Linked DNA regions of Notamacropus eugenii. The protein of the gene in region 1 interacts with the protein of each later gene in a pairwise test. Links are inferred from orthologs where the notes say so. Each region holds a gene or a part of one and is shown on either strand. Other genes may lie near its edges. The genes, in order: BCL2L13 and PLP1.

Region 1 (16,221 bases):
AAACTAGAAAAGAATGACTTCAAAACATATACAAGAAAAGCCTCAAAAACAAAAAACAAAACAAAAACAAAAAAACAAACAGACTGGGCAAAAATTCAAGCAAAATTCTTGGAAGAGATGAAGCAAGAGTTTTAAGAAGTTGTTTTTTTTTTTTAAAGAAGTTTTTTAAAGTTTCATTTCAATGCAAGGACTTAAAAAATTCCCAATGATCTCTTAAGGCAAAATGCCTTCCACATCCAGAGAAAGAACTATGAAATTTGATTACAGAATGTAGCAGATCATTTTCTTTCGTATTACGTTTTGGTTTGTTTTAGGATTTCTCCCATTCGTTTTAATTCTTCTATGCAACATGACTAAAGTGAAAATGTATTTAATAGGAATGTACGTGTAGAACCTATATAAAATTGTATGCTGTCTCAGGAAGGGAGGGAAGAGGGAAGGGGAAGGAGGACGAAAAAAATCTAAATTATATCGATGTGATTGTAGAAAACTGAAAACAAATAATTTTTTTAAAAAAAGGAATTTTTTAAAGTGTTAAAAAAATCTTTCTATAAATGAGAGAGTACTAGAGGAAAAATTGAAAGAGAAATAAAAACTGTAGAAGAAAGTATTGGAAAGGCAATTAACACCTTGGCACATGAGGTACAAATCTTGTCCAAATAACAAACTTTCTGAAAATTGAAATAGATGATGGCAAGGTTGTGGGAAAACAGGTACTCTGGAAAACAATTTGGAACTACACCCAAAAAACTATTAAACTGTACAAACATTAAATAAATAAATTAAAATTGGAAAAAGACAAAAAGAAACATTAAAGCCAATCAAAAGGTTAAAAAAAAACAGAAGAAACTCTTAAGATATTACTTAACAAAATAAATAAATAAATAAAACTAACCAGGAAAATGGATCAAGAAGAAAAAAAATTTAAGAATCATTAAACAGCCTGAATGCCATAACCAAAAAAGAGCCTATAAATCATATTTCAAGAAATCTTCAAATAAATCTGTCCAGATCTCTTAGAATCAGAGGGCAAATTATAAATAGAATCTGCCATAACTTTGTGAAAGAAACCTCCAAATGAATAAAATACTCCAGAAAACAAGGGATACAGGCTTAGAGATGAGAGTAACATCCAGCAAAACTTAAACATAATTGTATAGGTGAAAAAAATGGACTTTTAATAAAATAGAGAACTCCCAAGCATTAGGCATGAAAAGACCAGAACTCCACAGGCAAGGTGAAGTTCAAACACAAGAGAAACATAAAAAGATAAACAAGAATAATCTTAAGAGAATAAACAAAGATAAATTACTGACATTCAAATGTGGGAAAAGGATTCACATGTCCCCTCTGAAATCTATCATCACCAATGGTCAAAAAGGGAATCTAATTAGACAGAATGCCTAGGAGTGGTTCAATTATATTTTGATGATCTTAAAAGAAGAACCAAAAGGATGGGAGGGGGCGGTGGTGAGAAATCTGTTGGGGAGGTAGAAAGTGTTGGGGAGAAGACCGGGAAGGTTAGGAAAAGTTATCTCAAATCAGGGTATACAAGAAGTCTCTACAAACAAAGAAGAAGAGGTGGGAAGGAGGGAATATTTGAATCTTACTCTCATCTGAATAAGGAAGAGAAGAATATACAAACACACATATGCATATACATATACATATACACACATATACATACTAAGCTGGGCAAAGAAATACATTTCACTCAAAAATATTTATAGCTCTTTTTAAATGGCATAGAATGGGAATCTAGGAGAATGACCATCAAATGGAGAATGATCAAACAAGTTTTGGTATATAAATGCGATGGAATATTCTTGTGGTACACTGAATAATAAAGGGGATGGTTTTAGGAAAGCCTGCAAAGACTTGCAGAAACAGATGCAGAATTAAGTGAAAAGAATCAGGAGATCAATTTGTACAATGACAACAATATTGCAAAAATAAACAACTGTGAAAGATTAGAAACTCTGATCAGCATTAATGACCAACCATAATTCCAGGGGACTAATAATGAAACATGCTACCTACTTCCTGAGAGATGAAAAGACAAACTGCAGGAAATGTTAGATAGACAGACAGATATATATATATGGAGAGATACATATATACACATTTATGTGCACATTTTATAGATTTATTTGTTCTTTGGACAGGGCCAATGCAGAAATTGATTTTGCTTGACTTAACGTGTCTTTAACAGAAGTTTTTTTGGGGAGGTCTTTTCATCCTCCATTGGCATAGGACAGGATTTAGACTGGTTGAAAAGGTAGATTTTTGCTGACTGAAAACAATATAAAATTTGCTAAAAAAAAAAAAAAAAGAAACATAGGACAGAAACACTGTACCTAATCTGCACACACATACACCCCGTTAGATAACTACTAAATAAGCATTTATTAAGTACCTATTACAATATATGCCAGGCACTATGCTAAGTGCTAAGGGCACTAGGACAAAAGTGAAAGTCACTAAGCTCAAGGTGTTTACATTCTAATGGGGAAGACAACATGTACAAAGGGTGTATTGGTATTTGGGGAGGACTAGCACCTCTGGTGTGAGGGCTTGCCTAGCTCTTTTAAGGGCTGTTCATCTATCTTTAGTGTCCACTCTCACCTAAGTCTCCAAGCTGTGGCACGCATAGCAGCCACACCCTGGTAAGCAGTCTCAGCAGGCAGACTAAAACAAGTTGAAGGTAACCAAAGGGTCTCAAACGTCTACCTCAAATGTCTACCCCAAGCATGTGAAGATTTTCCCCAGTGGAACGAGTACATGAAAACAATTTGTTACAAAGACCACAAAGACGCTGAAGCAGGGGCCATGGACTGCTTAGAGCTTGGTCAGACATCCTGGGCCACTGCCCATCTTGACTTTTGTCCTTTCAATGGACTTCAATGACTCAGGAAAAGAGTGAAGAAGACAACTCTGTGCAACTCTGCCTCACTTAAAACCAAGACATCAACCCATGACGTCACTGGTGCTCTTTGAAAATGAAGTACAAACAACAACAAAGGCTGAAAAACAGGGATTGGAAAGGACAGAGGCGAGGAGGAAAGACATCCAAGGCACGGGAGATAGCCAAAACAGAAACACTCAGATAGGAGATGAAGGGTTTTGTGTAAAGAATAACAAGTAGGCCATTTTGGCTGGACAATAGAGGAACAATGTATAAAAGAAGACTGAAAAGAAAGAGGCCAAATTATGAAAAGCCTTTGATGTCAAAGAGCTTATATTTGATATCAGAAATAACAGAAAAACTGAAGTTATACTTTAGAAAAATCACTTCTGAAGCTTTGTGAAGGACTTTGTGGAGAGATTTTAGCCAGAAAGAACAATTAGGAAGACAGCACAATAACATAGATAAGAAGAGATGAGAGTTTGATCCAGAGAGTGGAGATGGAGGGGCGGTGCAAGGAATGTAAATACAACTTTCAAGATATGACAACTTGGACATGTGAAGTGAAGAAAAATGAGGAGTGAACACTGAGGTTAGAAATCTTTGTAACAGGAAGGACAGTAGTAATACGGAAGTACAGAAGAAAAGATAGTGTTATTTTAGACAAGAGGACTTTGGATTATGAATTATCTAGTATGAAATGTTCATGATATGAGACTGGAATTTCAGAAAGAGAAAAGGGAACAATATATGGATCTGGAAGGTTTTGTAGAAAAGGTGACATCTGAGTTGAACTTAACAGGAATTCACAAAAGATTAATAATAATCCATCAAGTAATGATGGAAAGACACAACAAGCATAGGAAAGGTGCAAGACATTCAGGAGATAGTGCCCTTCAGTTTGCATACTTTCTTTACAACAACCTACTAAACAAACCAATATGTGGTGGCTACTTCCATGTATAACAGTAAGGCTAAAAATTACTTTCATGTGTATAATATTTTATAAACAATTTTGCTAAAGTAGCATTTACATAATGATTTAAAGTGTACAAGACACTAAATGTTAACTCATTTGACCCTCACAACAGCCCTGGGAAGTAGGTGCTATTATTATCTCCATTTGATAGAGAAGGAAACTGAAACAGAGAGGTTAAATGACTTGCTTAGGGTCACACAGCTAGTGAGCTTTTGAGGCAAGATATGAACTCCAGTCTTCCTGACTCCAGTTTCTATCTATTGCATAATACAAAGAGCTCTGGATTTGGAATTATAAGATCTGGGCTTGAATACCAGACAGTATTAACCAGTTTCATGATCTTAGTCGTCACATGGATTCTCTGGATCTATCTTCTGGCCTATAAAAAGATCACTGAAGCTTTCTAAATCTTGATCAAGAGAAAACTAACTACAAGGACATCATGAGACCTAAATATTTAGACTTACTGAATATAAGGACTTGTTTTGCTGGATTATGCTTATGAGGGGAAGAAGGAAGCATTGGTCAAGGAGGAAGGGAAGCTGGTTAAAGTGTTATCAAAAAACGAAAAGAAACAAATTTAAACCATTTTAAAATTAAAATTTTCCTAAAATTATAAACCTAATAAAATTATTAACACTACTATAACAGAAGAGCTGAATTAACACATCTTAATTCCATTTTATAGATGAAAAAATGGAATCAAGTTGATCTGCTCTATAATTGAAAATAATCTAACTACCAGTTCTCTGCTTACATCTCAAAGATACTGATATCAGCAGGATGCTTTGCATAAATTTTCACCAATAATCTGACTAATACAATAATTTACTTTATTTATCTCATATATTTAGATCTGGAAGGGATCTAAAAGATGAAAGAACTGACAAGAGAAAACAAATACAAGAGCTAGGGCTAGTACTAAAATAAGGACGGACTGACTTGTGAGAAGTTTACATTCTCTTAGAAGAGTAGTGAAAGGGGGAGTAGTAGTGTTTTGAAATGTTCCTTCACAAGGGCAATGAAACATTGATTTGATTATGGTTCAAGAATTGTAAGGTGGGAACCAGAAGGGGTAGGGAAAGGGAGATGACAAGAAGTTAGCCTGGAGTCTAGGAGATATAATAGGTAGAGAACAACAATAAGGACTACTAATGACAGGGGACAGCTAGGTGGCACAGTGAACAGGATGCCAGGCTGGAGTCAGGACTGATTTCATATCCAGCCTCAAATACTTACTAGCTGTGTAACCCTGGGAAAGTCACTTAACCCTGTTTGCCTCAGTTTCTTCATATGTAAAATGAGTTGGAGGAAATGGCAAACCACTCCAGTATCTTTTCCAAGAAGACCCCAAATGAGGTCATGAAGAGGTGCATACAACTGAAAACAACAACCACCAAGGCTTCTGCTTCAAAAGGCAAAGAAGCTGGGGAGATGACTTGGAAGTGAAATGAAGCCAGGGCTAGTTGCAGTAGATACTGGGATATCAGTAGGAGAGAAAAGATTAAATCTTTTGGGGCATCACTTTGATAAATTATGTAGAATTTGTTGGTGTAGTCAGTTGAGATAAGTACTTCATTGATGTTTTATATGTCTTTAGATCTCTCTTCAAGAGCAAAAAATGAAGATGCTTAAATACAAGTTGTAGATGCAGACATTCCACCATAGTGGGAAACACAGCCAGTCAAGATATAACTTGTTTAAAAAATACAACAGAGGCTAAGTATGGTATTTTAATAAATAATATACCATTGAGCTCAAAAACATGCATATCTAACTGAAACACACTAGTTAAAACTTTGTGATAACTGCCCAAAAATATTTATAGTCACTGAATGGCATTTCTTTATGCTTTGTTTCTGATCTCTACTACTACAAACAGAACTTTTCAGGAAGTGCTTTTCAAAATAAGTTAATTAAATTTCCCTAAGATTATCTATAAATAGGTGATGAGTATGGTGAGTGTGATATTAGTGCAAAAAATTTGCTTAGGGTAGGGACAGGGCAAGAATAGAAAGAAAAATAGAAAACTTCTACCAATACAGATAAGCCACTCCAATTAACAGTCACAAAAAGAATTTTTCATGATCTCAAGTCTTCCTTACTGGAGAAAGTCTATCTATCCATCAAGATATCTATCTATCCCTCAAGCCCCACTCTTTCTATATACAGCTCATATTTCAAGGCACCTCTTGCCTTCAGCACAATCCTCTGCAATAAAATGAAATATGTGTAAAGGGCTATATGGCAACCACCTTATTTGGCTGGGCTATTACTTAAAAATCTCATTGTGAGAAAACAACATTTTTGTTTTGCTAAAAAACAAAAAATGGTAACACAGGGAAACAACATCATACTTTAAAGCAGATGTCTTTAACTTTTTGGGGGTCAAGAACACAGCATCCAATGAACCCCTTCACAGAATGTTTTTAAATGCATAAAATAAAAAGCTTAGGATTACAAAGGAGATCAATTCTACTGAAAGAGCTATCAAAATATTTAAATAAGTTAAAGGACTCCAGATTCAGAACCCCTGCTCTGAAGGTTTAATATTAAAGGTATTCAATAGCTATTTGTTAACTGAATTTTCTAATAAATATTAACTTCTAGCTTACATAATCTACTAAACATGATCTCACATCCTTCAAAATAGGAAGGAATAAGGTTTAGTATAGTATCTTCAACCTATTATATAGGCTCCCTCACTTTCATTTTTCTCTAATGTATTTCAGTTGGAACTACCCTTGGGGAGCTGGGCTCTCATTGGTGAGCTTCCCCTTACCCAAATTAGGTGCTCATAAGGCTTCAGGGCCATTTCAACTGTGCATGTTGTCTGCCTGAAAGATGGGATAACTCCCCCCAAGACTAGACAAAGATCTAAGAAAAGTGTCAAACTGATGTGTGCACCTGATCAAGGTATGGAAAGAAATCTCTACAAAAGAAGGGGTGAGAGAAACTGGTATCACTTTAACCTCACTGTCATGTGAAACTGGTCCAAGTAGGGTAGAACAAAGGATTTGGTGTAGAAATACATTCAACTCAACAGGATAAGGAACAGGGAGAGGGTAGAGAAGAGAGAGATTAATCACAGGCACAACAAAATTCAGAGCAAGTAACTGGGAAGAAAAGATTTAAAAGGAAAAAAATAAAAGGTAAAAACCTATGCTTGGGGTCTGGGTAAGAGGAAAAGAGGGAGAAGGCAAAGGAGCATCAAGCATAGAGCACTATCAGATAATTAGATTTTACCCTAGCAGCAATAGTTAGATAAAGAGGGTTGCCAAGAAAGGAAGATAAAGACTTGGTAATATTATTTGGCAGCAGTGTGGAGGGTAGGTGTTGGAGAAGAAGCAAGTAGATCAATTTGAACCCTATTACAATTGGCTACACCAGAGGTGAGTCAGGTTGACGGATGGAAAAGTGAAGTGTTTCTGAGATGAGAGAGTTGTCGACTTAAAATAGTAAATTCCTTAAAAGAAGGGACTGTATTGGTTTTCAATTTTGTATCCTCAGTACCAAACATACCTGCCACATAGTAGGTGCTTAATAAATGTCTGAAAAATATAATAATTAGCTTCTATAATTATTTCCACATATCTCCAGACTGAATGATTAATGAACAGGATCTACATCGGGATAATTTCTGAGCCCATTTCCCCCAGCTTCATATTGCTAAATAAAGATTATTTCATAATGCTTTAAATAATCATGATACACAAGGTACATTTACCCAAGGGCTTGTGAATATTTCACAAGCACAAAAACATCACCAGCAGATTAGTACTTGCTCAATTCTCTAGAGGAAAAAAAAATACTAGAAGAAAGTGTCTACTTATCCAAAGTTCTAAGTACGTCAGGGAAGAAATAAATAACACTGGCGTTCTGGTACTAAATTTTCTCTCAAAGAACCTGTGAAAACAGCTTTTTTCAACCGTTCGTTTTCCCCCATTTTGATGAAAAGAGGCAATCCAGAAGCAAACTATAAAGAATCAGCCCGGTTTACTGACAAGTAGCCTTTGCCAAGCGCTTTGCATAGACTACCTCATTTGTTCCTGACAAAAACCTTGATAGGTCGGATTTATCATGGACCCCAGCATTTCTCTGTGGCTTCATTAATCCGGGGTCATACTAACTAGTCCCCACACCAGCGATTGGGCGAGTGACCCAGACGTACCCAAGTCAGTATCATTTGTAACATGACTTGATCACACTTAAGCAGGAGAGTTACAATTTATCAGGTCTCTGAGTTCCAACCACACGCAAGCCTCATGTTTCGGACCTGCAGTGGAAGCGACCCCACTCCCTCTCCCAGGACAAAAGTTGTCGCTGGAAAGCGAGGCTCGAGGCCAGGGACTGGTCTAGTTTCACCCCAACTGGGCCTGGGGAGGGGAGCTGGGAGCACAAAAGCCACGGGGGCGGGGGGAGGGCTGGGAAGGAGAGGCCGAGCTAGGGCACCCGAGCTCCCGGCTCCAGCCCCGGCTTCCTCGGCTGGCCCGGCCCGGCCCTGGCTGCCCGGACCCCGTCCCCTCATCACCTGGCCCTGGTTCCGGGGAAGGAAGAGAAGAAGGAGAAGAAGGAGGAGGAGGAGGAGAGAGAGGAGGCAGCGGCTGCGGCGACGGTGGGTCCTCAAACAATCCCGCAGCGGTGGCGGCAACAACAACTGGCCCGGCCCACGACCCTAATCTACTGCCGCGACCATGATGGAGGCGGAGGTCACCCGTGCGTGGTGACGTCAGCGCTAGCGTCTAGGCGGTCGGGAAGGGGAGGGTCGAAAGAAGGAGGGCCAGAGGCAAGCAGAGCCCCTCCCTCCGGTTGAGGGGGAGGTGTCCGGGGATTTGGCTGAGAGAGAGATCCGGCGCGGACACAACCGGAAGGAGTCTGCGGTGTCAGCTCCACCTCCGGCTCAGCGCCACTCTATAGTAGCGTGGGGAGGAAGTGACGGCGACTGCAGTTACTTCCGGTCGTGGCTCGGCTAAAAGATGGATGGTTATGGGGGGAGAGGGAGTAAGCATAGGTTAAAAAGACAATTTATGTCTTTTTGAGCCTCATTCCTAACTAAGTAGAAAGGGGAGGCGAGGGATTACTTCTAAAACACGCGCTGTGAGGTGGCTGGCGGTGGCGTCATTACGTTGTAGAGCTGTGTCATTGGGCAGGATATGGGGATGTCATTACGTAGGGTGGGGTGATGTCATTACGTCCGAAGGCGTCTGGAGGTGGGCGGCCTGGTCTTAGTTTTTCCAGTTGAGGGCCGGAGGGTGTTGTGGAGAGACAGCCAGCCCCAAACCCTGGAATTGTGGGTTCATAGGCGAGCTTCTGACACATACTGGGTGTATCGCGCTCTGACTCAAGTGGATGACTATTTCATCTCATTATCACTGTAGATTTTGTCCTGCCAAAAGAAGTGGGGTGTGACCATTATGTGAAGATTTATTTAAAAAAAAACAAACGTGCGGGTATTGTCTTTTAGTTTCTGCCAGTCTAGCACCACTCAGACCATCTCACCGAACAAGCCCGCTGGCCATAGCTAACCACTGACCTCAGATCCAGTTCACGTAATTGAACAGGCCTGTTCTTGCACTCAACCGCAGTCACGTCGTCCATTTAGGCCAAGACAGGACCACACTACCTAACTCTTCCTCTTGACCAGACAGAACCACAATATCTGCCCATGGAGGGCAGCGCGACCAGAATGTTTAACCACCAAACCTCCATTACCCAATCCTTTAGCAAACCCCTCCTGCCTTTTTAATATTCATAATTTCTGTTATATAATTGCATCTTTATCCTATAAAAATCCATCTTGCTTCCTCTGAAGTTGCTGGTTCTTCTTGGAACTGAGCCCACTTCATGAGACGTCAATCTCAATAAATGCCTAGTACTTGGATTAGAGGTGGGAAGACTGAATTCTTTGAGAGGGTCCTGCACATCAGGAATCCACAACACTGTTTAGCAACACAATCACTTTCAGTGTGAAGCCGGCAGAATAGTTTTTATATTTACCTATCATCAGAAAGAAATGCTTTGCCCATGAATATATTGCCAAAAGACAAACTGTACATTTTAGCTAGCGCTGGAAGATACAAGTCTGACCATATGGAGCGACTTACTCAATGCCTTCTCCCCTTGCACCTGGGTCACAATGCCAAAGATACATATGTATCCATATGCTTCTCTGTTTACCTTTTAAGCAGTATGATGAGCAGAATTCTACCATGGGACGATTATGCGATGAAATGTCATAAACCAATTTTTAGACAAAAAACAGAGTGTGATGAGCATACGGTGGTAACAGTTATGTGATGAAATACCATACTACTCTAGGCAATTCTCCCACCTTTGCCTAGCAATCTAGCAATTTCCTATACAGTTCAGTCACTAGGTAAAGAGAAGCACCAGAAGTCAAGACAAGGTCTAAAAGAGGAAGCTGAGTTAATTGACTCATTACATTTCTGTTGTTTATCCAAGACCTTGAGGCAAAGAAAATGGAGATAGGATAAAAATTTTTATTTCAAGAAAATCTGCTTGTAATTACCTTAAGTAGCCAAAGGAACTTGAGATAGGGTGAAATTTTTTTTCAAAGTAAAATCAAAATGTCTGCTTCAGGCAAAGAGAACAGAGATTCTGAGGTGAATTTTTTTTATTTAAAAGTAAAATTAGAAATTCTTTGCAAATATGTATATTTAAAGTACATTTGCATGGAGAGCTGTTCAGAAAGTTCTTCAGAAATGTACATCTCTTCATGACCCTATTGGGAATTTCCTTGTCAAAGATACTGGACTGGTTTGCCATTTCCTTCTCATTTTACAGATAAAGGAACTGAGTCAAACGGAGTTAAGGGACTTGCCCAGGGTCACACAGCTAGTACGTATCTAAGATTGGATTTGGTCTCACAAAGTTTAGTCTTCCTGACTCCAGGCCTGGTGCTCTATGCTTTGCACCACTAGTTGCCCCCAGTAATTAAAGCAACTTATAGTAAAAATACAAAAGTTCTTCATCAATGGCCTGGTTCTTCTAGTGTTAAGTGCTTACTTATTAAAATGTGGGGATTAGACTTAGGCCTGATATTCCCCAACACAATGTACACTGCATCATGTTGGCTACTCAAATCCATATAAAAAAACACACTCCAAAATCACGAGTCCAGCTTCCCTGCTTGTCTCCCATGCTTGACATGCTCTTCCTGCTTAAATCCACCTCTGGATTCTTTCAAGTCTCTCTTCTTTCAAGCACACCTATTTTTAACATTCATTTTTTTTAAATTTTGTGTTCAAATTCATTCCTTCCCTCTTTCTCCTCCCCTCTCGTTGAGAAGGCAAGTAATTTAATATAGGTTATACATGTGCAGTAATGTAAAATATGTTTCCATATTAGTCATGTGAAAGAAAAGACAAAAACAAACAAGAAAAATAAAGTTAAAAAAAGCAAACTTCGATCCACATGCAGACTCTATCAGTTCTTTCTGTGGAGAAAGTCACTTGGAATTCTCTTGATCAGGTGTGGAGAACTTGTGGCCTTGAGGCCACATGTGGGATTTGTTCTGGGAAGTTTGGATTCTGTCAAAAGGCTGCACTTGAGGACCTACAGGACTATTGCTATTGCTATTACTGAGAATAGGTAAGACATTCACAGTGGATCATCCTACAGTATTGCTGTTCCTATGTACAGTGTACTCCTGATTCTGCTCACTTCACTTTGCATCAGTTCATGTAAGTCTTTTCATGCTTTTCTGAGAACATCCTACTCATCACTTCTTATAGCACAATGGTATTCTATCACAATCATATACCACAACTTCTTCAGCTATTCCCCAATTGATAGACATCTCCTCAATTTCCAATTCTTTACCACCACAAAAAGAACTGCCATAAATATTTTTGTACAAATAGGTCCCTTTCTTTTTGTTTTTTATCTCTTTGGAATACAGACTTAATAGTGGTATTACAAGGTCAAAGGGTATTCAAAGTTTTATAGCCCTTTGGACATAGTTCCAAATGGCTCTCCACAATGATTGAATTAGTTCACAAATTCACCAACAGTGCATTAGTGTTTCCACATCCCCTCCAACATTTGTCATTTTCTGTTTCTGTAATATTAGCTAATCTGATAAGTATGAAGTGGTCCATCAGAGTTGTTTTAATTTTCATTTCTTGAATCAATAGTGATTTAGAACATTTTTTACATGACAATAGATAACATTGATAACTTCATCTGAATTGACCATTTATCAATTAGGGAATGACTTGTGTTATAAATTTGATTCAGTTTCCTATATGTTTGAGAAATAAAGCCTTTATCAGAGAAACTTAACTGCAAAAATTTTTTCACATTTATGATTCCTGTGTATTCCCTCCATTCTATTTCTTCTTCTGTTTATCCTACTCTTATCATTCCTTTCACCTTGTCCATCCTAAAAGTGGTTTGACTCCTACTACTACTTCCCCCAACCCAAACCTCTCTTTTTATTAACACCATCCCCCCATTTCTCTTATTCCCTTCCCCTCCTACTTTTCTGTAGGATAAGATAGATTTCTATACCCAACTGAGTGCGTATGTTATTCCCTCTTTGAGCCAATTCCAATGAGAGTTGAGGATCAAGTGCTCTCCTTCCCACCTCTCTGCTCATCCTCTATACTGCAAAAGCTCTTTTGCACCTCTTTTAGGTACATTTATTCTACTTCTCCTTATCCCTACCTTTCCCCTTCCTTTTTCTCACTGTTTAATTTTATTTTTTTAGATATCATCCGATAATAATCAAGTCACATCCAAGCTGTCTATCTGTGTATACTTCTTCCAGCCTAATGATGATAACATTCTTCAGAGTTACAAGTATCATCTTCTTAAAGGCCTCATCTCTAAAATATAGAGAGAACTGAGTCAAATGTACAAGAATACAAGTCATTCCCCAACTGATAAATGGTCAAAGGATATGAACAGGCAGTTTTCAGAGGAAGAAATTAAAGCCATCTACAGTCATATGAAAAAATGCTCTAAATCACTATTGATTAGAGAGAGATGCAAATCAAAACAACTCTGAGATACCACATCACATCTGTCAGATTGGCTAACATGACAAAACAGGAAGATGATAAATGTTGGAGAAGTTATGGGAGAGTTGGAACACTAATTCATTGTTGGTGGAGCTATGAGCTGATCCAGCCATTCTGGAGAGCAATTTGGAACTATGCCCAAAGGGCTACAAAAATGTGCATACCCTTTGACCCAGCAATATTGCTTCTAGGACTGTATCCCCAAGAAAGCATAAAAATGGGAAAAGGTCTCACTTGTACAAAAGTATTTATAGCAGCACTCTTTATGATGGCCAAAAACTGTAAATCAAGGGGATGCTCATCAATTGGGGAATGGCTGAATAAACTGTTGTATGTGAATGTAATGGAATACTATTGTGCCATAAGAAATAATTAACAGGAAGACTTCAGAGAGGCCTGGAAAGCCTTATATGATCTGATGCTGAATGAAAGGAGCAGAACCAGGAGAACTTTGTACACAGCAATAACCACAGTGTGTGAGGATTTTTTCTGGTAGACTTAGAACTTTACTGCAATGCAAGTACTTAAAAAATTCCCAATGATTTTTTAAGGCAAAATGCCTTCCATATCCAGAGAAAGAACTATGGAATTCAATCACAGAATGTAGCAGATCATTATGTTTTGGTTTGTTATATGATTTCTCCCATTCCTTTTAATTCTTCTATGCAACATGACTATGGTGAAAATGTATTTAGTAGGAATGTATATGTAGAACCAATATAAAATTGTATGCTGTCTCAGGGAAGAAGGGGGAAGGATAAGGGGAAGGAGGGGGAGGGAGGGAAAAAAATCCAAGTTATTTGGTACTGATTGGAGAACACTGAAAATAAAAAAAAAAAACCAAACCCAAGTATTATCTTCTCATGTAAGAATGTAAACCATTTAACCCTATGATTTTTCTTTCCTGTTTACCTTTTTATGCATCTCTTAAGTGTTGTACTTGAGAATGAAATTTTCTATTCAGCTCTTGTCTTTTCATCAGGAATGCTTAAAAGTCCTCTATTTCATTAAGTATTCATTTTTTCCCTTGCAGGATTATATTCAGTTTTACTGGGTAGGTGATTCTTGCTTGTAATTCTAGCTTCTTTGTCCTCCAGAATATTATATTCCAAGCCCTCTGATACTTTAATGTAAAAGCAGCTAAATCTTGTGTTATCCTGTGGCACCACAATATTTAAATTGGTTTTGGTTACTTGCAATATTTTCTCCTTAACCTGAGAGTTCTGAAATTTGGCTATAATATTCCTGAGAGTTTTCATTTTGGGATCTCTTCCAGGGAGTGATCAATGGATTCTTTCAATTTCTATTTTTACCCTCTGGTTCTAGAACATTAGGGCAGTTTTCTGGATAATTTCTTGAAAGATTATATCTAGACTCTTTTTAAATATACTTTGTATTTTTTCCCCAATTACATGGTAAAACAATTCTTTTACATTTTTTTGAAGTTTTGAGTTCCAAATTCTATCCCTCCCATTATCCCTTCCTTCCTACTCCTAGAGATAGAAAGCAATCAGAAATAGGTTATACATTTGCAATCACATAAAATATTTCCATATTAGTCATCTGATGCTGGGGATTTTTTTCTTAGACAGTTCATGGATGACTTGTTCAATTTCTCTTTATAAGATTGGGTTATTTATGTATTTTATTTCTTCTGTTAATTTGCGTAATTTGTATTTTTAGAGATCCATTTCATTTAGATTATGAGATTTATTGGCATGTAATTGGACAAAAGAGCTCCTGATAATTGCTTTAACTTCTTCATTGGTGGTGAATTCACCCCTTTCATTTTTGATACTTTCATTTTCCCCTAAGGACTGCTTTGCCTGCATCCCACAAATATATAGGAAATTGAATCAAATTTATAAGAACATGTCATTCCCCAAATGAAAAATGATCAGTTCAGATGAAGTAATCAAAGCCTGGATGTGGATAGCATTTTCCATCATGAGTCTTTTGGAGTTGTATTGGATCATGTGTTACTGAGAAGAGCTAAGTCTATCAAAGTCATTCATCACACAATGTGGCTGCTACTATGTACAGTGTCCTTCTGATTCTTCTCATTTCACTCAGCATCAGTTCATATAAGTCTTTCCAGATTTTTTTGAAGTCTGCCTGCTCATTATTTCTTAGCACAATAGTATTCCATTACATTCATATACCACAAGTTGTTCATTCATTCCCCAGTTGTTGGATATCCCCTCAATTTCCAATTCTTTACCCCCACAAAAGGAACTGCTATAAATATTTTTGTATGTGTGGGTTCTTTTCCCATTTTTATGATCTCTTTGGGATACAGACCTAGAAGTGGTATTGCTGGGTCAAAGGATATGCACAGTTCTATAGCCCTTTGGGCATAGTTCCAAATTGCTCTCCAGAATGGTTAGATCAGTTCACAGCTCCACTAACAATGCAATAGTGTTCCAATTTTCCCACATCTTCTCCAACATTTATCATTTGAGAAAAAATTTTTTAAAATAAGAACAACCCAAGAAAAATAATATTATGAAAAGAAAGTTAACCCACTGGAAAAGGAGATTCAGAATCTTTTTTTTTTATTTAACTTTTAACAATTATTTTCACAATATTTGGGGTTACAAATTTTCTCCCCTTTTATCTCCTCCCCTCCCCAAACCCAAGCATTCTAATTGCCCCTGTGACCAATCTGCTCTCTCTTCTATCATCCCTCTCTGCCTTTGTCTCCGTCTTCTCTTTTGTCCTGTAGGGCCAGATAGCTTTCTTGACCCCTTAACCTGTATTTCTTATTTCCCAGTGGTAAGAACATTACATTTGATCCTAACACTTTGAGTTCCAACTTCTTTAGCTCCCTCCCTCCCCACCCCTTCCCTTTGGAAGGCAAGCAATTCAATATAGGCCAAATCTGTGTAGTTTTGCAAAAGATTTCCATACTAGTTGTGTTGTATAGGACTAATTATATTTCCCTCCATTCTATCCTGACCCCCATTACTTCTATTCTCTTATGATCCTTTCCCTCCCCATGAGTGTCGACCTCGAATTGCATTCTCCTCCCCATGCCCTCCCCTCCATCCTCCCCCCCACCCTGCTTGTGCCCCTGTACCCCACTCTCCTGTATTATGAGATAGGTTTTCCTATCAAAATGAGTGTGCATTTTATTCTTTCCTTTAGTGGAATATGATGAGAGTAGACCTCATGTTTTTCTCTTGCCTCCCCTCTTTATCCCTCCACTAATAAGTCTTTTGCTTGCCTCTTTTATGAGAGATAATTTGCCCCATTCAACTTCTCCCTTTCTCCTCCCAATATTTCTCTCTCAC
Region 2 (16,815 bases), on another chromosome or scaffold:
TAAGATTAAAGCCTACCTTCCTGTCACTTTATTCATGGCTCCTAGTTCTTACCTCCAGGACCAAGCTGCTTAAATATAATTCTATTTGAACTGCTGCAGACTAAGCAGAACCCAAAGAACTGAATATATAATGTCCATAATGATGGACAAGGAAAACCACAGCAAGACATTGGAACTCAGACCCACCATTGACCTGAATGGGGCATGCTTCAACCAGTCCTCTGGAACTGAGAGATGTCACTGGTAGATTCCAGAATCATTCACTATCATACATGATCCATGTGTCTGTCTGCTTTGCTCAACTATATACTTCTTCATTATGGGGGGTGAGTGGCCGAGGGAGGCAAGTCTTTCATTACAGCAATGCAAAAATAAAATAAAACGATTTTTAAAAACTTAATTCTTTTCCTTCTTCCATGTGACAGCTGTCATGCTCCCCTCTCAAGTCTCCCCTTTTCCAGGCTAAACATTCCCAGTTCATTTAACTATTCAAACAATTCTTCTGTGGCCTGTGTGTCCTCATCCTTCTGGCTTCCCTCCTTTGGCCGTGGTGTGGGTTGTTAATGTCCCTTCTAAGATATGGCACCCAAAATTGACCACAGAACTCTACGGGGTCCAGAGAATGTAGGTAGCAGTGCTGCATCGCTGATGAGAATGGAGGCCAAGTTTAGTCAGCAAGAACTTTCCAAAAAAGAGCTTTGACAGACCTAGGCCTTTATTCACCCACACAATGAGTAAGAGTGACAGAGAGATGGTGCCTCTTAGTACAACCCTTGAAATGAGTCTTCTGCTTTTTAGAGTGAAGGAAAGGTACATTCCTTATTCCCAAGCAATCCTAATCGGTTTTGTTTTGTTTTGTTTTGTTTTTGCTGAGTTAAGAGAAAAGGAAATTTTGAGGTAGACAATATTGATGTTTTCCTTCTGTGTCTCCATCTCTCTCTCTTCCTCCCTGTTTTCTCTATCTTAATCTCTTCTAAAGGAGGGCCCTTCAATTCTGGGGGGGTCAGTGACCCCATTGCTACTTTTTCACCCTGCCACAAGGTCAGGACTTAAACAGAGCATTCCACAATTTCCAGAACAAAAGAGCTTTGTTGTACCAAGGCTACCTCTCTCCAGCCTCCTTAGTATTCTGCTGCTAGGGGTTGGGGGTGGGAGGAAGGATGGGCAACAACGGAATGACTCTGTGGTGAGGAAAGGGTTAAGGGTGCTACCCACTGGCCGTTGTCCAGGCTGCCCCAAATAGGGCAGGCCCATATAGTAAAAGCCAAAGATCTGCATTGCCCCCTCCCCAACCTAGCACATTTACTCTGCATGTACACACTCCTCCAAATGGCAGAAAGACCTTCCTTTGGGATGCTCCTAGCTCCAGCGAAGGCTAAATCAGGAGCAGGGAAAGGAGGGGCTTGACTTGCCAGCTGCTCCTCTGTCCTCCTTTAATCCTGCATCTCCCCAGACCTCAAACACCTTAGCATATCTTGGTGCCTCATTTGCAGCTCAAAACAAAGGGAGAGCAAAAGCAGACGTTTCAGAAAAAAATCTAACATCAAGGCCAAAATAAACAGACCTGGCTGGTTATCTAGAAACAACTCCTCGATAATATGGAAACCCAACTAAGGACAGACATGGCCTGGTCCTTAGCACTGGGATCAGCACCAGGATCAGGGACAGCACCAGTACCAGCACCAGGACCCGGACCAACTGACAAGTGAAAATCAGCGTTTACAAGGCCGTTTGCTCCAACAGCATTCTCAGAGGGCAAGTCTGACTGGTCTTCAGAACCACAATTGGCATCTTTGTCTCTTGGGGCAAGCAGCCCCAAAGCACCCTCAAAGGCAACTTTGTAATTCACAGTATGAAAATAAAAAGGAGGTAATTAAAGCAAATTCAGGTGGGGACAGGGGGCTTAATTACTCTGAAGGAATCCGTGTGAGAGCTCCTCGCCGGGGTCCAGAAACTTAGAGTGTGCAAACAGCTCCAGTAGCCCTGCCCTAGTTATGTCTCCAAACCTCAGACTCCACATGGGAAATGCCAGGAATACGGGCCCCTGGAGTGCACATGGCAGTCCTCGGTCCCCTTCCAGCTGAGGCTCACATGGGCTCTGCTATGCAGGCTGGTTAGATGAGATTCGATAGACATAAGTCAATATTTGCAGTGCAGAAGGCCAAGCGATTTGCTTGCATCTAGAAGAGGCATGTGTTCTCCATTTAAAATCTTTTATTATCAAGAACACCCTGGCCTTCAGAGCTTTCTGGAGAAACTATTTTTCATCCACCGGGAGATGTCATATCCCCAGACTTCTCCGGCTAATACAATAAAACCTTTGACTACTGATATACTTCAGGTATCATTATTCCCATTTTACAGATGAGGAAACTGAGGCTCAGAAGGGTAAGGTGACTTCCCTAAGGTCATTCAGCTAAGGAGCTCCAGAGATGGAATTTCAATGTGATTCACAGTCCCCCACAAACTTTCCACTACATGAGAACATCTTAGCACAGCACAAAGTACCCTGGACTTGAGGATGAGGACCATCATCATTGGATTACCTACGTTCTAACGTCATTTGAGAAAGATCCTTTGCAAACTTTAGGTCAAGATTTAAATGTGCTATGGGGAAAACAAGAATAGCTGAGAAGACTCTGACAAGAAGCCATGAAGAAAATAAAAGACATCTTCTGGTGGCTGCCCTCAAGGAGCTGATAGTCTTGGGAAGGCATTGTGGTACAGTGGAAAGAGTGCTAGACCTGGAGTTCCAAGAACTGGATTCAAATCCCAGCTCTGCCACTTACTACCTTGTGTGACCTTAGACAAGTCACTTCCTAGTTTCCTAGCTGTAAAATGAGGAGAGTGGGCTTGGTGACCTCTGAGGTCCCTCCCAGCTCTAAGATTCTGGATCCTGGTGAGTCTCTCTCTCCAGCTAGACTAAAACCTGTGAAAACATCAAAGGACAGTGTGAGACAGTGTCGATTCAAAGAGATTTTGTGTGACTTGGTGCTGACTGGAGCTCATTGTCAGTGAACTCTTTAAGAGATCTGGACCACTTGGTCTGATTCAGAGGGAGCCATCACTGGCCCTGAAGCACTTTCCCCTCCGAACCCTGCATGGGGCTCTGGAGGTCACAGGACTGTCACCAGCTGGAGTCCCCAGGGGCTTGAGAACTATTCCTCAGATTGATGCCAACCTGTGAGGACCGGATCCCACCTGAAGCCATCGCCTTTTACCACAAGCTAGCTTCCCAAGTCTTTGTCCCCTTCATGATTGGTTTGAGGGTGAAAATCCCGCAGCAATTTAGGGGATCATCGGAGGATGGAAAGACAAGGACAACAAAACATAGCCCTGTGTAATTCCTAGCCTATCCCTTTCATCTGACAAAAGGGGAGAGAGAGGTGGCCTAATTACGCAGCAGGCTCCGTTAAGAGAGCTCTCATCTCTAAGTCTCAGACATGAGACCTGTTCTGCCCCCTCCACCCAGGGCCAACCTCTCAGCCCTGCCCTTGTCAACAGAGCCTTCCTTGATAGGGGCTTATGGGAACTGACAGGTCTAAGATGCTAGAGCAGCCGTGACTGGTACTGGGGATGGGTGAGGTTTGGTGGGTGGGTTCTAGGACTGAACTAACAAACAGCATGCAAAGGCCAAGATAAACAATGACCCTTGCTGCCAAGATGAGCACAGTTGGACAAAGCCTTATCTGTGAGCTGGCTTCCTTCCCCATTCCACCTCTTTGCTCCTTCCTCATTTGCTGCCTTGGTACCTCCCTTGGGCTCCAAGGACCAATTGCTGAGACTTCCAAAGCCAGCTTGGGGGAGTGGAGTGGGGAAGATGAAGGTGCATGAACCCTGAGGCAATCTGCTGTGAGGGGATCCCCACCTGAGGATGAAGTGTGGCAGGTACATGAGGTCAGGTAATGAGCCCCACCATTGGCTAGCTGGCTGAGGAAGCTTAGCCAAGTCCCTTCCTTCTTTTTCGGGTCTTAGGTCTTCTCATTGGTAAATAAGACAGTTGGACCAGGTGATCATCCATAGCACTTGAAGTTCTGCCATTTGATGACCACTAGAGGAAACTGTCTCCTTCTGGGGCAGCAGCATTTGGACCATTCTGCCATTCCTTGAGCACCATGGTTGGAAGGCAGAAGACTATGATCCAGAGAACGATGGGCCAAACCCATCTGCTCTGTAACTGCTGACCTGGGAGATCCTGGCCAAATCCCTTCATATCTCTGAGCCTATTTCCTCCTCTGTAGGGAGGGAAGGATGCATGCCATCCTTGGAACAGGCTCCACTCCCAACAGGTTTGGGTCCAGGGCCCAAATCCTCGCTCCTGTTCCCACTCTCCCCTGCTCCACAAAAATCTAGAAGCACTGGGTTTCTGGCTGCCAGTCCCTTCAGAAAGGCAAACCCTTTTCTCTGTTTCTTGCTTCATAGGACCATAGAACATAGGGGGTGAAAGGAACCTTAAAGAACATCATTCTAGTCTGATGCTCTCATCAGACTAGACTAGACTAGACGAGACGAGACTCTCATCTCATTCAGATGGGGAACCTGAAGCCAAGAGGGGGAGTGATCTGCCCAAAATGCTTCAAGGTGGGAATTGTACCTAGGTTGGTCCTCTGATTCTCATTCCAGGGCTCTTCCCAAACCTCTGTCTCCCTTCCTGGATGAGATTCTCCTCCTTCCCTCCCTTACTGCTCTTTCTGGTGCTTTCCTGCTGTCTGCCTATCCCAGAGCTCATTGTTTACCTAGCTTTGGTGGGGAGGAGGTCAGAGAAGGGACAAAGGGGTCTCCCAAATGCATTAGTCTGCTATCTCAGGAACAGATTGGCTAAGTAAGAACATGTTCGTTTGTTCCTCGATAATCACTCAAGTAACATCAGGGCTGCTGATGGAACCCAGTTTGTCTCCTGGTGCTGTGGGCTGTTGGACTGAGCCATGAGCTCTGTCCTTCATACTCTTCTCCTGAGCCCCCCTCCACACACACACACACACACACACACTCACACACACACACACACACACACACACACACACACACACACACCAAGCAAGCCCAAACTTCCTTCTCAGTAAACAACAGCTCTTCAAATGAAGCAGAAGATGTCTGGTTACCAGGGTAACAGCCACCATTCTCAATCTTCAGTCTTAAAGGCTAGACTCTAGGAACCAAAGTTTTGTTGCTCCAAGAGGGGTGATCAATTACCAAGAAAAGAGAATCTGGCATTGCTCTGGGTTTCTTCTGCCCTGTTGTCCATGTCCCCCACCAAAGCCAAATCATAAGGACCTGTCATTGATGCCTCCCTAATCCCAATCCCTGCAGTCTTTTCGGGAACCAGGGTAGACACTATAGCATTCTGCAATGTCATGGCTACAAGTTGGCTGGGGCCACAGCCCCGGGGGCCATCATGAGGTGGCCTCATCTCAGCGGGCTGAACTATTCTCCATCTACCCAATAGGTGGGAGCTGATGCATATGGCCTATCTCTGAGCCTAGTTCCAGTACGATTTGCCCCTTCTTTTGGCAGTACCCTCTATCTGAGGCTGTCTTGTCCTGCTGAAATCTAAAGCCAATACCTGGCTGGCAGAAAGGCATTGCATTTCAGCCTGTTCACACCCCTCCTCACCCTCATCCCTTCTTATCTGGAACCTGAGCCACTCACCACTTCACTTGTACCCTCTTCCCTGGCCCATATGGCAAGTCCTTGGTATCTCCAAGGACTGGAGCCTGGCATCCCACTGTCTCCAGAGGACATTTCCCCAGACACCTTCCTCTGGTGACCACATGTTTCTGACACTAATACCTAGAGTACTCCAAGAACTTTTTCTGGAAGGGCTCAACCACCCCAGGGAGCTGGAGCCAGCTCGGAGTCAAGCCCTCATGTGCTTGTAGAGTATAACTTTTAAGGAACTTTCCCATTCACTGCCTTGTATAAGACCACTGGTAACCCTATTAAGGGGGCAGAACAATGATTATTATCTCCATTTTCCAAGTGAGGAAACTGATGTTCAGGTATAGTGCCTAAGAATCATCAGAGCCCACATCTTAAGGTTGGCAAAGCACTTTTACACAAATGCTATCTTGAGTCTCACAACAATCCTGAGAGGGAGGTACCATTATTAGCCCCATCATACAGAAGAGACAACTAAGGCTCAGGGAAGTTAAGCGGTTTGCCCAGTGTGACAGAAGTGGGATTCAAACCTTCATCCTCCCCAAATTCAGCCGGATTTCCACTATACCACAGCATGGGGATGAAAGGGCATGCAAGCAAATTCCTTCATTTTACAGCTAGGGGAAGCCAAGCCAGAGATCTGAGGCAGTAAGGGACCTTAGAAATCAGGACATCCAAACACTTCCTTTTGTAGGAGGCCACTGAGACCCAGACAGTGACTTGACCAAGATGACACAATTAATGAGTGACAGAATTGGGGGCTCCTGACTCTTCTGCCAACCTTCTTTCTATTATACCCCACTAGCAGTACAAGGCCTGCAAAAAGATGCCTCTGTACACTGAGACAACTAGGTGGTTCAATGGATATAGCACTGGCCTGGAGTCAGGAAAACTAGAGTTCAATTCCAGCTTCAGACACTTACTAGCTGTGTGACCCTGGAAAAATCACTTTTCTTCTGCCTGCCTCAGTTTTCTTATCTGTAAAATGGGGATAATGATAACACCTATCTCCCAGGGCTGTTGTGAGGTTCAAACAAGATCATATTTGTTTACAAATATGCACTTAGCACAGTGCCTGCACATAGTAGGCACTATATAAATGTTTGGTCCCTCTTTCCATCCTTCAGAAAGGACTAGAAAGAACACAAATGGTCATCTTAGTGAGAACTTTATGTGTAGCAGAAGTCTGGGGACCAACCAGAGGGTCACTGGAGTGGAGTTCCTATAGGAAGCGATTGAGATTTTCAGGCAAAGCCTGCATTTCTACAGGAGCAAAGTACACTCTCTTGTGAAGGACACTCTAGCTGACAAATGGGCTGGGATAACTGTACCCCGAAGACCCTGCTTAGAAGGGAATGTGCCAGAGGACAGCGCCCCCAGGCTTCTACCAAGCCATGAAGAGATGACAGACAGAGCTAAGGGCCAGCTTCCAAGAGACTCTGAGCCTGGTCCCACAGAAGAGAGGGGAAGGAGAGGCCCAGCAGCCACTAAGACCTTAGAGCAATGGAGAAGGAGGAAGAGGGAGACAAATGGAGCCGGGCAAAGGGACAAAGGCCAATCTATCCTCCTTGACTGGCATTTCCTCCAGCAGGATCCTAAATGGAGAGTGATGAGGCAGCAGCACCCAGCACCCTCAGGGCCGAAAGTGAATATCCTGACCCCAGAATCACTAGAAACCCAATGCTCCAGTCCTAGAATTCAAAAGCCCCAAGGGCATCCCCAGCCTGACCCCAGCTCTGGACCAGTCCCACCTTCCAGTGTCTGTGGCTAAAGTTCTTGGCAAACTTACCCATGGCTTTGGGACTCCGGACTCCAACTAGGGTTGGCTGCTTCTCCGACTTTGGGACAGACTTGCTTCAGGGAGGAGAATCCTGGCTGCTCTCTCCTCTCCTTCCTCAGTCCTTTACTTTTTCACTCTGAATATCTTTGTCCTCTTCTCCAGCAAAGAAAAGGGCTTTCTGATTGACAGCCAATCCCCTTAAAGGGACAGGCCTCCTTTCCTCCTCCTCTTCCTCCTCCCTTCTGCCCCCTCTCCTCCCCTTCCCCCCCCCCCCTCACCGGGATACTCCCTTCTCTTAGGGCTTGCTGTGTCTTTGCTTTTCCCCCACAGCTGCCAGATTGGATTTTGTTTCCCTTTCGTTGCTGTCAGTGTGGTTTCCCACTCTTCCTCAGTAACATCAAAAATTATGGCTTGGGGGTTGCCAGAAGGGAAATGATTCTGGTAGCCAGATGGGCAAAAGGAGGGGGGATGGCACTGGGGGGAATGGAGTGGGGTGGGGTTCCAAAGATGAGATGGTCAGATGCCCTGAGACCAAGATCCAACTGAGGAATTGTTGGTTACCTTGTCCCAAATGCACAATCACTTAACAAGTAAACACCTCCTGTGTGTAAACACCTACTGTGTGCTGGGTACTGTGCCAGATGCTGGGCATATGGAGCTTGCCCTTACCCCCCAAGTTAGTGTCTCAGGGAGCCAGACAAAAAGCCAAGGAAAAAGAATGAGGAAGCCCTAGGAAGCCTCCATTAAAGGCGAGTGCTGTGCTGGGCCCTGGGGAGACAGACCCTACCCCCAAGGGGCTGACATTCCACTGTGCTTGTGTGCAGCCAAGCTTTAATCACAGGAAGAGTCAGAAAAAGGTGCTAGTAGGTGAGACTTGACCCTTGAGCTGAGACTTGAAAGGAACCAAGAATAAAAGAACTCTAAACATGGGCACAGCCTGGGCAAAGGCACAGAGGCAGGAGATAATGGAATTCTAGGTACCAGGAAGAACAAGTAAGAGTTGAGTTTGTGAGGTGGGGGCCGTGGAGGGAGGAGACAGTTCATATGAAATTAGTCAAACAGGGGAGGTGGCATTTTATCCTGGAGGAAACATCTTGTGCAAAGGAGTGACATGGTCAGATGTGTCAGACGTACTTTAGAAGTAGAAGTTTGGCAGCTGTGTAGAAGACAGACTAGAAAAGGGAGAGGCTGGAGGCAAGGAGACCATTGGGAAGGTTGCTGCAGTGGTCTGGGAACAAGTAGGGAGAGCCTGGTATAGAGTGGTGGGCTTCTAAGTAGCAGGATACCAAAGGGAGAAGTGTTCCCCGAGGGTTAGGGGAGTCCAGGAGTGCTTGGTGTCCAGTGTGAGGTAGTGGTCATCTCCACAGGCTTTCTGGAGGAGGTGGGCCCTCCTCTGGTTTGGGGGCCTTTGGGATTCCTCTGCCCATTGCTGGGGTGGACAGGTACATGTCAAGAGTCTGGCTGTGGGAAGAGTCCGTGAGCCCAGCCCCTTGCCATGCAGCCTACCTCTGCAGAGGGGAAGGGGGAGGTGCAGAGGGGACATTCTCTGGCTCCTTTCCCTCGCTCTCACTTATTACTGCTCTGATCTCATGACCACATTGGGAAGTTCATGATGTTCTTCTTGCCTTTCTGTTGGGGGCAGAGTGAACTTTCTGAAGGCTGGGGTAAGGGATGAGCTGGCATGGGCCCAGATAGGCTATGTCCTTGGACCTGGAAGGGATTTGGGAGATCATCTAATCCAAGCCTTTCGTTTTACAGAGGGAGAAATTAAGGCCCAGTGGGAGGGGGAATCACTTACCCAAGCTTGCACGCTCTGGAATAAACCCACCCCCTGCAGTTTCAATCTCAGTGTTCAGGTCCTGTTCTCATGCAGAAGCTCACACGGTCACCCCCAAAGGGTGAGCCTCAGCCCAGGCCCCTAGCCACCAGCTGGACTCTACTGCTTGGGGAGGAAATCCTGGGAGCCCGGTCTTGTTCTCTCCTGGGGAGGGGTGACAATGTAACCTGCTCTGGAGTGCAGAGAGCTCAGTTCAAATCTAGCCTTACCTCCCTGTGGCGTCCTGGGCCACTATTTAGTAAAACTATGCTGAGTTGCCCTGGATGATTTGGATTGGAGGGGAGGGATAGAAAGGGACAGGGTTCTCTAAAGCTGTGTCCAGACACAAAGGATTCCCCGTTAGTCATTCATATTCTGGAAGCTTGTAAATAGTGCAAAATCAGCAAATAGGGCCAGGACTAGACCTGCTTGGAAGAAAACCAGAGGAATGCCAACGAAATTCCATTTTACCGACTACATTTTCCCATTTCCCACTGTCTGTCCTGCCCTGCCTCCCTCTCTGTAGGGGATGCCAGAGGATGGCCTCCTGTCTGTGCTCTGGATTTGGGGCCCAGCAGGCCTACAGAAGGAGGCCTGGGAGCCTCTCTCAGGCCCTGGGAGACAGCACAGTCATAGAAATGCCAAGCAAATGGAACATGGCCACATGAGCTGGCAAGTGAGGGGCTCTCCCCAGCTCTGCCCCAACCACCTGAGATCCCTTTGGCAGGGCTCCCCAGCACTCCCCAGGTATCCCTCCAGAGGGCAGTGCCAGCCTTCTCCGCAGCTGCTTGATGCCTGGAGCAGTGGGCGCCTCTGAAACAATGGACGTTTGTGTAAGGAGTGGTAAACAGTTTGCTTCATGCAACGCTGAGGCCAACTGATAGGATGTGGGCACCTAGCATGGCAGCTGGTGTTGGGGTGCATGCCTCCCTTCCTAGGAGCTACCCCGTGGGCAGCTCCAGGCTCTCCTCAGGGCTCCCTGTGTGCCTGATCTCCTAGAAAGGTCACAGAAGGTGGGCTCTCCTGCCCCACCGTGCCTGTCCAAGTGACTGCTGCCCCAAGGGCCCAGGAGAGGTGCTCAATCATAGTGGAGGCTAATGGGGGATCGTAGGTTCAAAGATCCAGGGCTGGACCAATCATAACCCTAACCTCCTCATTTTACAGATAAGGAAACTGAGACCCATAAAGGTCACAAGTTGTAAGAGCAGAGGCAAGATTAGAACTTGGCCCCTCAGACTCGAGTCAGGAGGAAGGCCTCATCTCAGCTGAGAGAAAATTGAAATTCATCACCTATATAAGGTTCTTTACTGTTGGGAAATATTCCTTGGACTGATAATCAGAGGAAGAGATGGGTTACTTTCTATACTTGTTCTAAGCCTGGGGCAGAGGTTTGCTCATCTGCAACATACTGCATGTGAACATCATGTCCTCAGCTTCCTCTACCTTATGCCTCCCCATATCCACTGACTTGGCTTTTCTTGGGCCCAGGGCTAAGTCTGGCCAGGCTGTGGATGGAGTGGAGATGCTTGAGAATGGAAACCTCTAGCTATGACTCTAGCTCTAAGAGGTGGGGTGGGTGAGGTGTGAGGAAAGCCAAGGGTACAAGTACTGGGGATGGAGCTGAAAATCACCTGGAAGCCCAACGTCAGACAAGTATTTTAGGAGAAGGGAAGTAGAAATCCACCAGGGTAGCCCAGCAAGCCTAGATCCCTCAAAGCCCTGGCAAATGGCGCCCCCTGCCCTGCTCCCTAGCCAGTGGCAGAGAACAGACACACAATACAGTGGGGATCTCAGAATCACAAAGCCCAATGACAGCACACATGACTGAAAGGGTTCCCAGAGAGCCCACAGTCATGTGCCAAGTCCAAGACAGAAGCAGTTCTCCCAAGGGCCATGACATCTGCTCTTAGCCACCTCTGTGGTCTGCAGAGAGAAGGCTGGAGTCAGAGAATCCTGAATGAGCTACTCAGTCTTGTCTTAAAGGTCACCAGTTACCAATCAATGTAAATAGCTATTGTTTTCTCTTCCAGTCAGAAATTTGGGGGGTCTGCCCCTCCCAGACTGATGTGTTGGTAAATTAGGCCATCTTTTGTCTCAATTCTTACCTAGCCCTTGGTCACTGAATGGGTGTGTGGGCTCAGGTAAACTGAGGCCTTGGAAAGACCTTGATTTAGAAAAGCCAAGGACATCCACTGCATCCTGGGCCATAGCCAATCTTGACTTTTGCCCTTCCACCGGACTTTGATGACTGGAAGAGAGAGTGAGGCTGATGACTTTGTGGGGCTCTACTTCACTTAAACCCAATTTACTCACAAGGAAAGACATCACCCTCATGATGTCATTGGTCCTCTTTCAGAATGAAGGACAAACTACCAGCTCTCACCTTCCAAGGCAGGCTGATTCACTTGGGGATGGCAGATGGGGATGAAGCAGGGTCTTTTCCTAGCATCATGCCTCAGAACATAGGTCACAGGAGGTCTGAGCTACATGTAGCCTTAGGCCACAAACATTCACTAACCCTCTACTATAAACTTGGATCTATGGTGGTGGGGGTTGAGACATTTGAATGAGAGCCAAGGTTTAGGTTCACATTTGGGTTGGAGAACAGCCAGTGGATGGGGGCCCTACCTAGGGGTTCCCAAACAAGGCATCTCAGCTATCAGCAGACACTTGTCAAGCTGTGAACCAAGGGCCTCCCCTCAAGCCCTGACCTCCTCTGAAATCCCAGGCTGTTCCCAGGCAGAGGAGAAGTCCAGAAATTCCCTACAAAGATAACAGAAAGCATACTCTCTGATACTTGGGTAAGGCAGTTTCCAGGAAAGAATCCTTAAGGTCTCAACTCTTTAAACTTTGATTCACTATGGTCAATTGGGAGTCAAGTCACGGCCAAGGTGAGGTGAGGTCCAAGCATCTCAGCCTCCCTGCCTTCCTCCAGCCTTGACCTCTCGGCCCTGCCAGATACCAGTCCCACTCATGGGAACGGGAGAGAAAAACATTTGCATCTGAATGGAGGTAGTGAGCCAGTTGACTGCTCATCCAGACCTCTCCCCCAAGCTTTGACCTCTGCCCACCAGGGGCATCCATTCTGTGGATACAGATCCCTGCCAGTGCATACACCTGCCTTCCTTAGGCCCTCATGCTTTTAAGGAACTGACAAAAATAAGAAATTTCAATTGCAGCCTAGTAAAAAAATGTAGTTGTTTTACTATCTAGGTTCATTCCCCAGCCTCCCACCCCAATCTAGCCATGAGTCCTTGGGGGCAGCAGGTCTGTAAACCCTGGGCTAAGGAGCTTTCTCTAGACTAGGGGTCTAAACTTGGGGGTCATCCTTTACTCTCTCCTCTCCTTCATCCTCTGTAGCCAGTCTTGCCAAGCAGTGCTGATTCTATTCTCTACATTCACACGGCCCTGCCCAAATTCAGGCCTTCATTATCTCTCCCCTATATTATTGAAATGGCCTCCTCACCCAAGCAGCCCTTTTCTCCAACCCAGCTTCCAGACATCTACCCAAACCATTTTCCTATACCACAGGCCTGACCACCGTGTCACTCTCTCCACTCAATCTTTAGTGGCTCTCTAGTGCCTTGAGGATCAAATAGGAGCTGTCCTGGTAAGAACTGAAGGCCTTCCCCTGTCTGGCTTCCCTAATCTTATTTTCCACACATCAATTTCCCTTCACATCAATAAATCTTTCTTGTACTGAGTTCACACATTTCCCCATGCTAATCATTTGGAAAGCCCTCCTCCAGGCTTTTGCCACAGCCTTCATTTCTCTGCAGCTTCCCTAAACATGCTACTGACTGTTTGGTAGATAAGGAAGTTGAGGCCCAAAGGGCAGGAAGTGGTTTGCCCTGGTACCATGCAGTAATATGCACTAGACTACCTCCAGGACCCATACCCATCTGGTCCTTGGCCTTCTCCACCGAAAGTCATCCCTCCTTCCCAGGGATGCTTGGCATGAACCTTGTTGAGTCCTGCCTTTTGCCCTCAGAGTATTCATTTGTGAATGTGCCTGTTCCCCCTCCCCTGCCCCTGCTTAGTTCCCAAGTTCCTAGAGGACCAATGGGGGCCAAGCAGCCCAATCAAGGAGGGGGGCAAGCTTGACTGGATCAGCACAGGCTCTGTTCACAAGGCTGAAACAAGAAAAAGCCCCCCTGGGCTAGCCTTGACACCCTTGCTCTTAGCACTGTCTCCGATGTCTAGGGGATGTCTTTCACCTGCAAAAAGCCCATCAGCAGCCTCACCCCATGTTTTCCCAGCTTTGCGGCTGCTGCCTGTCTCCCTCCCCAGCCCTTACTTCAGGCAGGCCTGAGGTGGAAGGAGTGGTCCTCCGAAATGGCCAGCAGGCAGATTGGGAGAAGAGAACCAGGGGTTTGAGGGAAGCTTGGAGCCTGTGGAGCTGAACTGCTGGGCACAATGCACATGGGGCTCTTGGCTCCCCTAGGCCCTGGGGAGATGGAGAACAAGCCCCCAAGATTCCTGGGGTGGCCCAGCTTCAGATGTAGAACAAGCCAAGCTTGAAGGAGGTGATTCTGGGGGGGTGGGCAGCAGAGGGCCCATACCCCATGGCCACAAGAACTCTTGTTTATTTGACCCAGAAGGGGTTTTAACCTGAGCCCCAACAGGTCCATGGAGAGATTGGGGAGTGACATGAACTTGGCTAGGAAAAAAATTAACATCTTCATTTTCAGTAACCTCTGAAACTTAGCATTTCTTTCTGTTATTTAAAAACATGTTTCTGAGAAGGGGTCCCTGAGTTTTACCACAGTCAGAGGGATATAGAATCCCCCCAAAATGAAACAGCCCTTAAGACTTATAAGACCTCCCAATGGCCATGAGAGGCAGGCAATGCAAGGATTATGCAGCCCTTTTACAGATGAAAAAACTGAGGATTGGAAAAAAGAACTGACTTGCCCAGGGTCACATAACTAGGAAGTCTGGGGAGGATTTGAACCTGCATTCCAATCTAGTACTGCCATTCACACCAGAAACCCAAATGGACTGAGAAAGTTTGAGTAGTCCACAGGCCAGTGAGGCCCTGAAGGGAGGGACAAGAGGCTCCCCTCCAGGGGAGTGGGAGCAGGGTCCCAGTTGTGACCCTTGTGTATAGGTCATCCCACATAAATCTAGAGCTAGTCATATAGTCTAGCACCTACATTTTACAAGTAAGAAAACTGAGGCCCACACAGGTAGTCAGAGATGCCTTCAGGCCAAGAAAGGCCTCAGTTTCCTCCTCTGTAAAATGAGGGAGTTAGGCTAGAGGGCCCATGGCTCCTTTCAGCTCTAGGTGTAACATCCCAGGAACCTCAGGTACATCTCTTGGGTTGCAGATGTCAACAAAGAAGTCCCCAGCAGTCTGTGCCCAGTGTCCTCAGGATGTGGAGGCCCACTCCTGGGGTATCTCAATGTTACAGCAATAAGTTTGCTTTAAAGGAGGACAGTAAAACCCAAGCAGCACAGTATGCCTCCCTCCATGGCTTAGTAGAGCTCCCTGGACAGTGTCTGTGGGCCTGGTGCCTTCCCAAGGCCAGGCCTCCTTGATGCTGGAGGAGGGCCGAGTGGCCCTTCTCCTTCTCTCATGCTTTTGGTTGATCCTTGTGGCTGAGTACCTGTTAGTCTGAGCCTTCCACATGACCTCCACTCTGGACACTCTTTCTGAGGCCAAAACACCTCCCTGTTCTTTATCTGCTGTCCTGGCCAAGGTCCCTCTAAGTCTCTCTTCCCCTCCTTAGCAGCCCCACCTCAGGTGGAGGTGAAAGGGTGGGTGGAAAAAAATTTGCCTGCCTTCCCTTAGGGCAACATGGCATGAGTCTCTTTACCTGGTTTGGTGTCTGATTCTTAACCACAGACCTATGGGCCATGAACGGCTGCAGACTCTTCGCTGGGGAGCTCAGGGTTCCCACAGGATTCAGCCTCCAGGCTCAATGGCTACAAGATGGTGGGAGAGGGGGACTCTGGTTTCCTGTCCCCAGGTAGGGTAGTCTTCCAAGAAGCCAACCTAGATTTCAATAGTACCCTTGCCAGAGGGTCTTACTGGTGGTGCCCAGTAGGGTCAAGGTTGTCAAGACCATTGTCTCAAACACTCCCCTGGAGCTAAGGGGAGGCAGTCCAGGAGCAGGCAACGACCTAAGATAAGCCTATGTGCTTGTGTGATCATCTTGCTGGGCCTCCAGCTGCCCACATGGTCTTGGGTTCCATTGAGAGCCATGACTTCCAAGAAGGTACAAGTCCTGCCGTTGCCCACTTTGGTCAGATAACACCTAGAGTAGTGTGTGTGATTCTGGGTGCTGGTGTGAGAAGGACATTCATCAGCTGGAGGGCAAAGGGCCTTGCCCCCACATCATGTGAGAATAGGTTCAAAGAACCAGGGATGTTGACTCCAGGGAAGAAAAGGCTTAGGGCAGACACAATGGCTGGCTGCCTTCCATTAATGGATGGATGGATTGGATTGGGTGGATCCAGTGGCTGGCATGTGAAAAGATTAACATTGCTCTGCCTGGCCCCAGAGGATACATGAGGGAACAATGATGGGCAGGGGGAAGGGGGGAGGGGAGAAGGTGCAAAGAGGCAACTTGCAACTTGGTACCAGGTAAAACTTCCCAGTGAGCTCTACCCCAAAGTGGACTGGGCTTCTTTGAGAGGGGACTGGCTCCATCTCCCTGGAGGCCCTCTAAGCAGATGCTGGATATCCACTTCTGGGGCCCAAGCTGGGAGACAGTATAATGAGGACTCTTGTTCAGGTCTGGGTGCCACTGAGGCCCCTTCTAACTCTAAAATTCAATGACTCAGTGACCGGCACTCAGGGAGTGGAGGCCATGGGTCAAACACACATGTGGCCAGTTGGGTGTGTGTGGTCTTGAGCCTTCCCCATTTCATGAATGAGAATCAAAGCCAAGACACACACAGTGTGATCTGGATGACGATCTTCTGCAGAGAGCCAGGAAGATAGGGGGCCAGAGGGACCCCCCCCCCAACATAGCCACATGTTTCTTGTCACCAGCTGCTCTGGGCTTCCATGATCTGCTCCAGCAGCTCCCTGGCAGTTGAGAGCAGGCCTGCACTACATCTTAACTGCTGCCCTGGGGGTCTGAGCAGTACTCCCAGGCCCTGGTCCAGAAGGACACTGAAGATCACACATTAGAGTTACCTAATGGGACCAGGTGACAGTGTTTGTGACTTTGTTTATGTTCCATAAAGGGAGACAAGGGCAGCGGGAAAGTACTGCAGAGCATGGACTAAGTGCCCCTCTCCCATCACCTCCAAGGAGGTTTCTACTCCTCCCACTCTCAAAGAAAATTCATAAGCTCTGCCATACAACAACTTCCTAAATGCTCCTGGTAGCTAGCCTTCCTTTCTCAGGCAGCCTGGCCCAGGGGCCAAAGTTTGAGCTTCACTCTTCCTAACCCAGAAAGAGTCATCAGAGCACAGAATGGGGGGCATGGAGTCCCAGGGTCCCAAGGACCAAGTGAGGGGGAGTCCAGTCCACCGTGAAAGAAGTGAGTGCTTGATCTATATGACTGTTCTGGGAAGTGATCCAGAAAATTGAAGTCACAAACACCCA

The links.
Region 2: the proteins of BCL2L13 (region 1) and PLP1 interact in binary tests that used the Homo sapiens proteins (3 or more experiments, as listed by UniProt). The two-hybrid records come from large-scale screens. The link is inferred for Notamacropus eugenii from reciprocal best matches to the Homo sapiens genes BCL2L13 and PLP1.

Annotation. Positions count from the first base shown.
Region 1 is NC_092874.1:207,163,110-207,179,330, reverse strand, and holds the start of BCL2L13 (bcl-2-like protein 13), read right to left. Parts: upstream 8,770-16,221; 5' UTR 8,416-8,769; intron 1-8,415. UniProt on the Homo sapiens protein: May promote the activation of caspase-3 and apoptosis.
Region 2 is NC_092879.1:92,931,047-92,947,861, reverse strand, and holds the start of PLP1 (myelin proteolipid protein), read right to left. Parts: upstream 7,612-16,815; 5' UTR 7,452-7,611; coding exon 7,448-7,451; intron 1-7,447.